Oryzias latipes: one gene and its partner. The protein of the gene in region 1 interacts with the protein of each later gene in a pairwise test. Links are inferred from orthologs where the notes say so. Each region holds a gene or a part of one and is shown on either strand. Other genes may lie near its edges.

Evidence for each region.
Region 2: the proteins of numb-like protein (region 1) and SPRY domain-containing SOCS box protein 3 interact in binary tests that used the Homo sapiens proteins (3 or more experiments, as listed by UniProt). The two-hybrid records come from large-scale screens. The link is inferred for Oryzias latipes from reciprocal best matches to the Homo sapiens genes NUMBL and SPSB3.

The regions. Positions count from the first base shown.
Region 1 is NC_019871.2:18,103,977-18,108,376, forward strand, and holds the start of numb-like protein, read left to right. Parts: upstream 1-1,378; 5' UTR 1,379-2,585; coding exon 2,586-2,653; intron 2,654-4,165; coding exon 4,166-4,316; intron 4,317-4,400. UniProt on the Homo sapiens protein: Plays a role in the process of neurogenesis. Required throughout embryonic neurogenesis to maintain neural progenitor cells, also called radial glial cells (RGCs), by allowing their daughter cells to choose progenitor over neuronal cell fate.
Region 2 is NC_019866.2:14,628,187-14,632,741, reverse strand, and holds the start of SPRY domain-containing SOCS box protein 3, read right to left. Parts: upstream 2,863-4,555; 5' UTR 2,646-2,862; exon of another isoform or gene 2,645-2,645; intron 1,081-2,644; 5' UTR 994-1,080; coding exon 868-993; intron 1-867.

The DNA of each region.
Region 1 (4,400 bases):
AGTTAACATAATGAGCATTCACGTTACTGAGTGACGATGAAACACAACATGCCGGATCAGATTACCCCATGCACTGTGGAACCAAAGCACCTTGGGAAGAAATCACCTGCTGAAACAAGACACAAATGGAAGAAATGTGAGGAGGTTCTGTTGGAATGCTACTACTAAAGTATTCCTGCTCAGAATGATTAGATTAAAAGAATGTGGAGTCAATTAATTCTTCAAAAATCACAATTCAGGCTTACTGCAAAGCAACAAGTAGCTCAACGTTTCAATGTTCACAAATGATAAATGCTAATGTAGCAAGATATTTAAGAGAACAAAAATATAAACCCAACGCTTATGTTTTTGCTCCCATTTAAGTTCATGACATGAACTTAAAGATCTAGATTGATCTGATTGAGGTTTTTTCTGGTAATAGATCTTATAAACAGTTGTTGGCTCCAGTCTGCGCTGGGATGTTCTGGTAACAGACCTGTGACCTCACAACCTTTTCATGGATGAAGCTCTAATGGAAAAAAGACTCATGGATTGTTTTGCAATCTCCATGTTCCCATTAGTAGTTCACTGATTTCTTGCCGATAGTTTCAATTGACATAGTTTGGAAAAGAATATCCACTTGTAAAAATGAGTGATACTGAATGTCTCCTAAGAATACCAATGGTTTGGTACCTGGGGTCGATGCAGACATTCTGGACGTTTTTCTTTTTTCACCTGTGTTATTTGTCCATAATATACGCCTGCCCATACCTTAACCCCACCGCCACCATGGGCCACAATTTACAACCTGACCAACTCTATGTGAAGGAGATGTGCATGCGGAAAACAATGCCTAAAACAATCCAGCACATAACTGCAGAGTGTAAGATATTGACAGGGAAAGCAAACATGAAGCGCCACAACCAAGTGTCTGCATGATGCAAATGGTGGTCACACCAGATACTAGCGGTGCCAGTTAGGTTGATATTTCAGAAAATTGTGCATTTTGTGGTACAGCACCAAATTTGGCATGGATATACCCTAGGATGCCCTATTTTAGAAAAGCACATTAGTCATGAGAATAATCCAAAAAGGCAACCAGTTGTAAAAACGCAGCCGTGCTGTCAATTGTTACTGGGTAGCTCGGTTGGTAAGGTGGGAAGCTACCACGCAGGAAACCAGGGTTCGATTCCCGGAGGGGAATGAGCAATGGTACTGGGGGCAATTACCATATCAATGTCGAGCAGTTAACATCACCCAGTGAGGGTCCTTAGGCAAGACCCTTAACGCTACTGCCTCCCGAGCGCGGTTTCGGCTGCAGCTCACCGCTCCCCAAGGGGATGGGTCAAATGCGGAGAAAGAATTTCCCTTCGTGGGATAAAATACAGTGTATAAAAAAAAAAAAAAAAAAAAAAAAAAAAAAAAAAAATATGTCCATTTGTCCCAGTCTCAACAATATGGACTGTTCATGCACAAAATGCAATCTTAAACTTGAGGGGTACCTATAGAACACTATCATATGTACAGTATATTATATGTGATATATATATTTTTACATATTTTCTCATGGCTAAAGTACTTTTCAGATCCTAAGGTACATCTATGCCACATTTGGTGTGTTTACAACAAAATGCACAATTTTCTTAATAACCAGCTCCCCTATACTGACTGGTTTTCTGAGTCTCCAGACCCCTGCAATAAAACAAAATGGCATGTCTCAAAGTGGTCTTCTAATTTGGCTAGTCTAAGGGAACTTCTTGAATCCAGCATATAACTGCAGGTTGTAAGATATTGACAGGGAAAGCAATCATGGAGCGCCACAACCAAGTCTCTGGAATAATATATACAGAAACATGTATGCAGAATATGAACTGGAAACCCCAAGTTCAAAATGGGAACACCTCCTAAAGTGGTAGAGAATGAGAGAGCAAAGATCCTGTGGGACTTCCAGATCCAGACTGACAGGATGGGAATGGCGAACCAACCAGATATTGTAGTGGTGGATAAAGAACAGAGGAAAGCCGTTGTGGTGGATGTGGCAGTTCCAAGTGATTAATAAAAAACATCCACAAGAAGGAACATGAGAGGAGAGAAATGCCAGAGGCTCAGGAAAGAACTGGAGAAAGCCTGGAAGGTGAAGGGGATAGTGGTGCCCGTGGTAATCAGAGCACTCGGGGAAGTAACCCCTAAATTACAAAAGTGGCTACAGGAGATTCCCCTCTTTGGTCTTTTGTAACACAGCAATTAAATGACCACCCTTCTTCCCTCTATTCTGCCTTCTGAGTGGGACATTATGAATCATTTTGCTTTTGCTCTCCCGTCACACACAACTGCAGCAAAAGGACTGGAGTTTGCCAGGTACCAGTCAGCAGGCACTAAACCCAGAAATAACTGGCACAAGTGTTTGAGTGAGTGTGTGTGTGTGTATGTGCCATGGATGAGTAAAGCCACTTGATCTCTTTGCATGCAACCATTCCGGGTTGTGGGAGACGCATGAGGAACAGGAGTGATTATGGGAAGTGATGTGCTCACATACATTAGTATGTAACCCGTGAACAGCATGTGTCGGCGCAGAGTGGAGTGTTGTTCTTCTGAATGAGCAGATCATGACATGTCTTCAGTGTAGCGTTTGTGCCAGAATGCCTATGATGGAAGCCTTCAGAGCTCCTAGAGGGTAAGAAAATGACAAACTTACTATCAGTTCGGATTTTTCAGCAAATAGAACTTCAGTAAAAAGCAAGAGAAAATGTTTTTTTTTTACTTTTTTTGTTATTGTTGCTGTTTTAACACCTTTTCTTGTTCTGAGACCAATGGAGTCAATCTACAATGTGCCTCCTGATTCAGCTCTAAAAAGATCTAACTACAGCTGAAGTCTTTGGGCTTTTTATGTCAAAATTGTGTGAAGGTGGGAGAAGAAAAACAGAAGTTATGGTTTTCTAACAGGTCATAATTTGATAGCATTCAATTACATAAATTATAGTAGAGATCTTAATGGTTTTAATTAGGGAGGAGAAGAACAGATCAGAGAAAAACTGAAATGTTTGTTTGTGTTTGCTTGTGTGTGTCTTTTCTCTGCCTTCATAGACCTTTTCATTTTGCTTTACTCTGAAGAATTGTGAAAGCATGGCGATCCTGTTTGGTGGTCTTGAGAAGGTTTTGCTCCTATCACAGTCCATTAGAGGGTCCTCACAAGTGATGGTTGTGATGGGCTGGCTGGAAAAACCTTTGAGGACTTTCTAACAGGTTACAATGGTAGCCTAAGTGACATGTCAGGATAGGCATGGAAGCTTTTGAGGTAGACCTCAGGCCAGTGGGGGAACATGTGAAGCTCAACTTTATCGTCATATACCTTTAAAAAAGGAAAATATACCTAACAACGTTCATAGAGACATAAAGATTGTACTTGCCTCCCCTCGGTCCTCTTCATTTGTGATAAAAGCTGCAGAAGGTGGTGTCTTCTGCAAACCTCAGGAGTTGGACAAACTGGTGTCCAGATGTAGATGTTCAGGAGGAAAGAAAGCAGCTGCAGCTTGGAAGTCATAGATCTCCGTTCTTGTCCTCAACATTGTGGTTTGGTTCCACCTGCAGCCTGAGTTTGTCTGACACAAGCGGCAGTGGCTGAGGAGATTGTGCAGGTCGGCCAATGCTCGAATGGTCGGCGGTTAGATCTCCTCTCCCCCCAGTCAACTGTCGTCGTGTCCTTGGGCAAGAAACTTCACCCTCCTTGCCTCCAGTGTGGCTCCACTGGTTTGTGAATGCGTATGAATGCCCAGGTGAGGGTCAGAGGGGCCGTAGGCGCTCGTGGAACAGGGACTGGCAGCCACGCCCCAGTCTGTCTGCCCCAGGGCAGCTGTGGTTACATCAGTAGCTTACCATCACCAAGTATGAATGAGGAGTGAATGAATAATGGACACATTGTAAAAGCTTTGAGTGTCTGGAAAAGCACAGATAAATCCAATCCATTATTATTATAATTATTATAAGAGCTTAGTCAGGGTCCAGACTGAAGCCCATAAACAGGAGTTACAGATGATTACTGCACAATCAGCTCAAGCTAATCAATAAAAGCCATCCCACACCACTTTCATGATCTTCTATGAAGCCTTTCATTTGAGTCTTGAGAGAATCTGTCGCTGTTTGGTCGTATTTGCCAGGAGACCGAACCAATGGACCTTTCTGTCTGCAGTTCTAGGGAGCACGTGACCCCGGAAATGAACAAGCTTCGGCAGAGTCTGAGGAGGAAGAAGCCTACCTACATGCCAGAGGCCAGCAGACCGCATCAGTGGCAGGCAGACGAGGAGGCTGTGCGAAAGGGCAAATGCAACTTTGCTGTTCGGGTGAGTGCAGTGCAGATTTGACCCTGGTCCAGGCCTGCACAGAAACAAAGAACAGGAAATGTTCTTCTCGAACATGCTTCATCT
Region 2 (4,555 bases), on another chromosome or scaffold:
ATGGAGAGTTCACAATACATCGAGGTGTAAAAATGAAATACTATTTGGTGTCCTAATGATTCAGGATCATTTTATATGTTAAGTAAATCCTTCACAGGATCAATTAAAAACAGCAGTTTTCCCAATTTAACATCTAGGATTAATTCCTCCATAATTTTGAACCAAATATAAAAAAAGTTTGACAACTTTTTACTATTACAACGGTTACATGGAAAACAGTATTTATGCATACTTTTAGTAGTGTTACCATTAAAAATTAAAGTGCTGAAGGCATAAGTGTGCACAAATGTACTTGGGATCTGCAGACCTCTTTATGGAGTTTTCAAGTTCAACTTTTGTCCGTTATACCACTGGTGGTAGCTGTTAATTAAAATATTGATAAATGACTAAAAAAAGGCTGTTTTATAAAAAAATAAAACAATTTAAGACCTGATATGCCCTCATTTACCCTTTTTAGCCAAGACAAAAACAGCTTAGGGGCAAGTAAAGTGTCGTGCTGAAAATAAATCACACCATTGTTTATTGTTGTTTTTTTCCTGAGTGGAAAAAAAATAACTTAAAGCAATAAACAGCAGAAGCTTTTATTAAATGCCTGCAGCAGTCACATAAACAAGTGTTCACTGTTCCAAGAGAAGCAAAAAACAAGAGACAAGAAGCCTGTGGCACATTTGTTCCAGTGCTGTTGACAAAATGTCACTCCACTTCCAAAATGATCTCTTTACTTACCAACCACTTAGGTTTGCTAATAATTTAATGTCACCCAGTTAAAGTCTAAATGCTAAATGTTGTTTTACTGCTGCTACAGTATGCTTCTCAGTCATTAGTGAAATCGAAACAAAGCTGATTGTTAAATAAATGTATGTTTACCTCAAAGCGTTCATAATTCCAGTCCTCGGTTTCTGAGGCCAGGACTAAAGCCCGGGCATCGGCGTCCCGCCGTATCCCACCCCAAACGTATCGCCATGCACGGCTGTTCCTGTTCCGCCTCGACATGGCAGCAAAGCAGTTTCACAAGCCGGGGAAGTTACCGTACAGTCACAGTGTGGTCCAAGTGACTGGCATGCATAAGCCCAGCCGCTGAAAGACAAATACAGTATTGCACTTATAGCAACAACTTTAGTTTTTGTTTTTTATCTCAACTTTAAAAAAATTGAAAGCACTGAACAATTTAAACTCCCACTCCGATTATCTTTTGTGCTTTGCAAAAGCGTTCCAAGTGGTCTTTTATTTATGATTAAGCCGTTTTAAGCCATAAATTAAGACACCTGTACTGTTAGTAGTTCCCCTCTGAATTGTAAGCGGGGTAGGCCTGTCCTTCCTCCAATTATCCATCTATTTACACGTTCTCCCACCAGCTTACAGCCCCCAACACCCCCAACCTGACATTACTGGTTTCGCAAAAACAGAGAGCAATATTGAAGCCGTACAGTTTGGTCTACAAGTGGATGGATCAGAATGGAGCAGAGCAGGCAGCTCGTGGCCCGCCGCTGTAGCATCTATGTCACTGCTACAAGCTTCTTCCTAAGCACTGTTTGTCTGCTCCTGATTCAATACAATTTGAATGAAGAAAATACTTCCAAATACAATTTTGAGATAATTTTTCTTTGTATATGTTCTCCATCATCAGGTAAATGCCACAAGAATATGTCAAAAACACCAAGAACATAATTTTCATGGAGTGGGTCTTTAAGCCTCGGATTTTAGTTATTCAATTTGCAGCATATTTGTTCATTTTAAAGAATAACATGAAGACGTAGAGCAGTTTACTTCCAGTTCACCAGAGAAGCAGTCCTGCTTCCTTAAGTAGATTTGGATTAAGTGGAATCTTACTGATTTAATAAACTAATCAGGCACCCTTAAGTTATATTCTATATTGTAAAACGTTTAGGACAAAATTGGGCCAACTCTTGCAGGGTTTTTTTCCGTGTTGTCCTAGTTTTAGCTTGAACTCAATGTGTCTGCTTAAATATATATAGATTTCACAATATCCGCTTTTTCTTTTTGGCACACTTTCCCCTGCATTCGCTACTTTAATGTCAAAACCAGCAAACAAAGTACAGTGAGATCAACTAAAACACGTATTAGCACAAATTTATTTGAGTCACATTTTGCTCGCCACTGTCTTTACTGACAAATGTTGGGAAAATACTTGGAAATGTTTAGCCTAGTTTCAAGTTAGGATTCTTTTATAGTTTAGGAACCAGCAACCAATTAAAAAATACGTATGTTTTTGCAGAATTAGTAGCACATAGCTACCCAGGTTTTAAAATATATATAATAATGCAACTAAATTATTTTCTTGGTTAAAATATAACAGATAAATCGTGGTTGCAGCAAAACAAAACATCTCATCGATGCGCGGTTATGTTTTGCTAGCTAGCTTTAGTTGGCTACATAGGCAAGCTAACAGGAGCAGCTAACCCCAAATACAGTGAGCCACGCATGCATACAATTGATATTTGTTAACATCACGGCGGCAAAGAGGGTTAATTTGCATTATTTAATATTTAAAACAAATTAACGCTTTTTGCGACTTATAATGGAAGTATTGTTGTGTTGGTGATGCAAATGTGAACGTTTTTGAAAAAGAAGCTTAGCTAGCTGTGTGTGTGTGTGTGTTCACAAAATACGGGGGTCGTGTTACCTTTTTTGCTTTAGTTCTCCAGCATCACGTTCATTTGACCCAAAAACAAAGCTGTACCGACTCCGCGGACTTCCGAATAATTACAACAGACAACTAGTTAAGCGGGAAGCGTCGGTTTGTTTTCCCATGACCTACTTTCCACTAGGAGTGTGTGACCGTAAACAGTGACAGGAATGGTAGGAGCAATGAGTTATATCGCTAGAGGAGACATCACGTGGTTCCTCATGGGAGGAGAGCACCGCCATCTTGGTGAGGTGAAGTCACTGCTGCACTGCATGCATTTGAACACATTTTTTTGCAAAATGCCAGTTCATTGTTGCGGGTTTCAACTGCCAAAATCGGAGAAATGAGTCCACGAAGGAGAAAGGCATAACATTTGACAGGTAAGTACCATATTTTTTTCTTTTAAAGCTGCAGGGGCTTCATTAATAGTACACATGTTTTTTTTTTAATAGTACACATGTTGACATGCATGAGGCTGCAGGGCTATTATCAACATGCTGCATGATGTACGTATAATTTGCCGTCGACTAGCAATAGTCTGGCTATGTTCAAAACATTTTGTGGAAACACATTTTGATAAGACTGGCCAGACTGTTCGCTTGAAACCCGGCCCCATACCATCTGTGTAACACCAAATTGATCACTCTATCTCTAATTCTCTAAATCACTCTTCATCTCTCTCTCTCTCTCTGTCTTTTAGGGTAAATCTGTTGTTAACCTTTGGACTTATTGTTGACTTATTATTGATTTATTATTATTATTTATTATCATTGACTTATTGTTATTTTATATTGTTATAATTTATTATTATCATTGAATTATTATTATTATTATTATTATTATTATTATTATTATTATTATTATTATTATTATTATTATTATTATTATTGACTTACTATTGACTTATTGTTGGGCTTTTCTAAATAATTGAAATTACATGTCAAAGAGCTCTAAAACTTCTAAATTCTTTGTAATAATTTTTTTTTATTTGTAAGAAGTCCTGCAACTATGCGAAGTTTGAGCTTTTGAGTCTGCCTGTTTGTCTTATTTAACAACAACAATAGCAACAATTTAGCTATTTGAAATTCTTGGATGTGCGATTGGATGTGCGATAACATTTATCGAACCCCTTAACCTGACATTTTGATATTTAAGATATGGGGGGGGGGTCAATTGTTATCTTGTTCTTTTATTAACTTTAATTGCTGGGGTATTTTATATTCAGTAGTAAGTAGATATAGAAATATACATACGTAAAATCACACGAGTCCTCCGTTTATTATTGTTCTTTTCTTCCTGCGGAACTAAAGTTGTCATTCGATTTACACGGACGGATCTAGTTTTGTACGGACAGCTAGCAAGAAGTGAGTCGTGTGCCGGTCTGAGGTCAAACAAACGCTCTACTGTCAACACCTTTGCAGGTAAATTAATGACAACATTTTCAGACATCACAGTGTATTTTTTTCTCCCATTGGGTTCTTAGCAGTTAGTTTTGAATAACGCTGAGATTGCGGAATTGTTTTTGCGGTCATGAAGCATCGCGTTTGTGCAACTCGCTAGCTGCTCCTGCTGCTGTTAGATATTTTTTCTTTGGCAGCAGAAGTTTGTGTACCTGAAACATGCTCTCATTTATTCTGGTAAATTTGAAAATATAAAAACTACATTCTTCGTACTGAAACTGGAAATGCAGCAATATTTAAGACTAATTTATTATGCTTCAAAAAATAACCAAGGCTCAAAAAACGATTAACGTCTGTGTCAGTGTAAATCTTTTGGATTAGTGATAAGTTAAGTCTTGCATTTCTATTGTTTTTTCTCTGTTATTTCTTTTTTTTTCTATTTTTATTTACTTATTTCCTTCTGTGATTGCTTTATTTGGTTATTATTGAACACAAGTTTGTTTTTAAA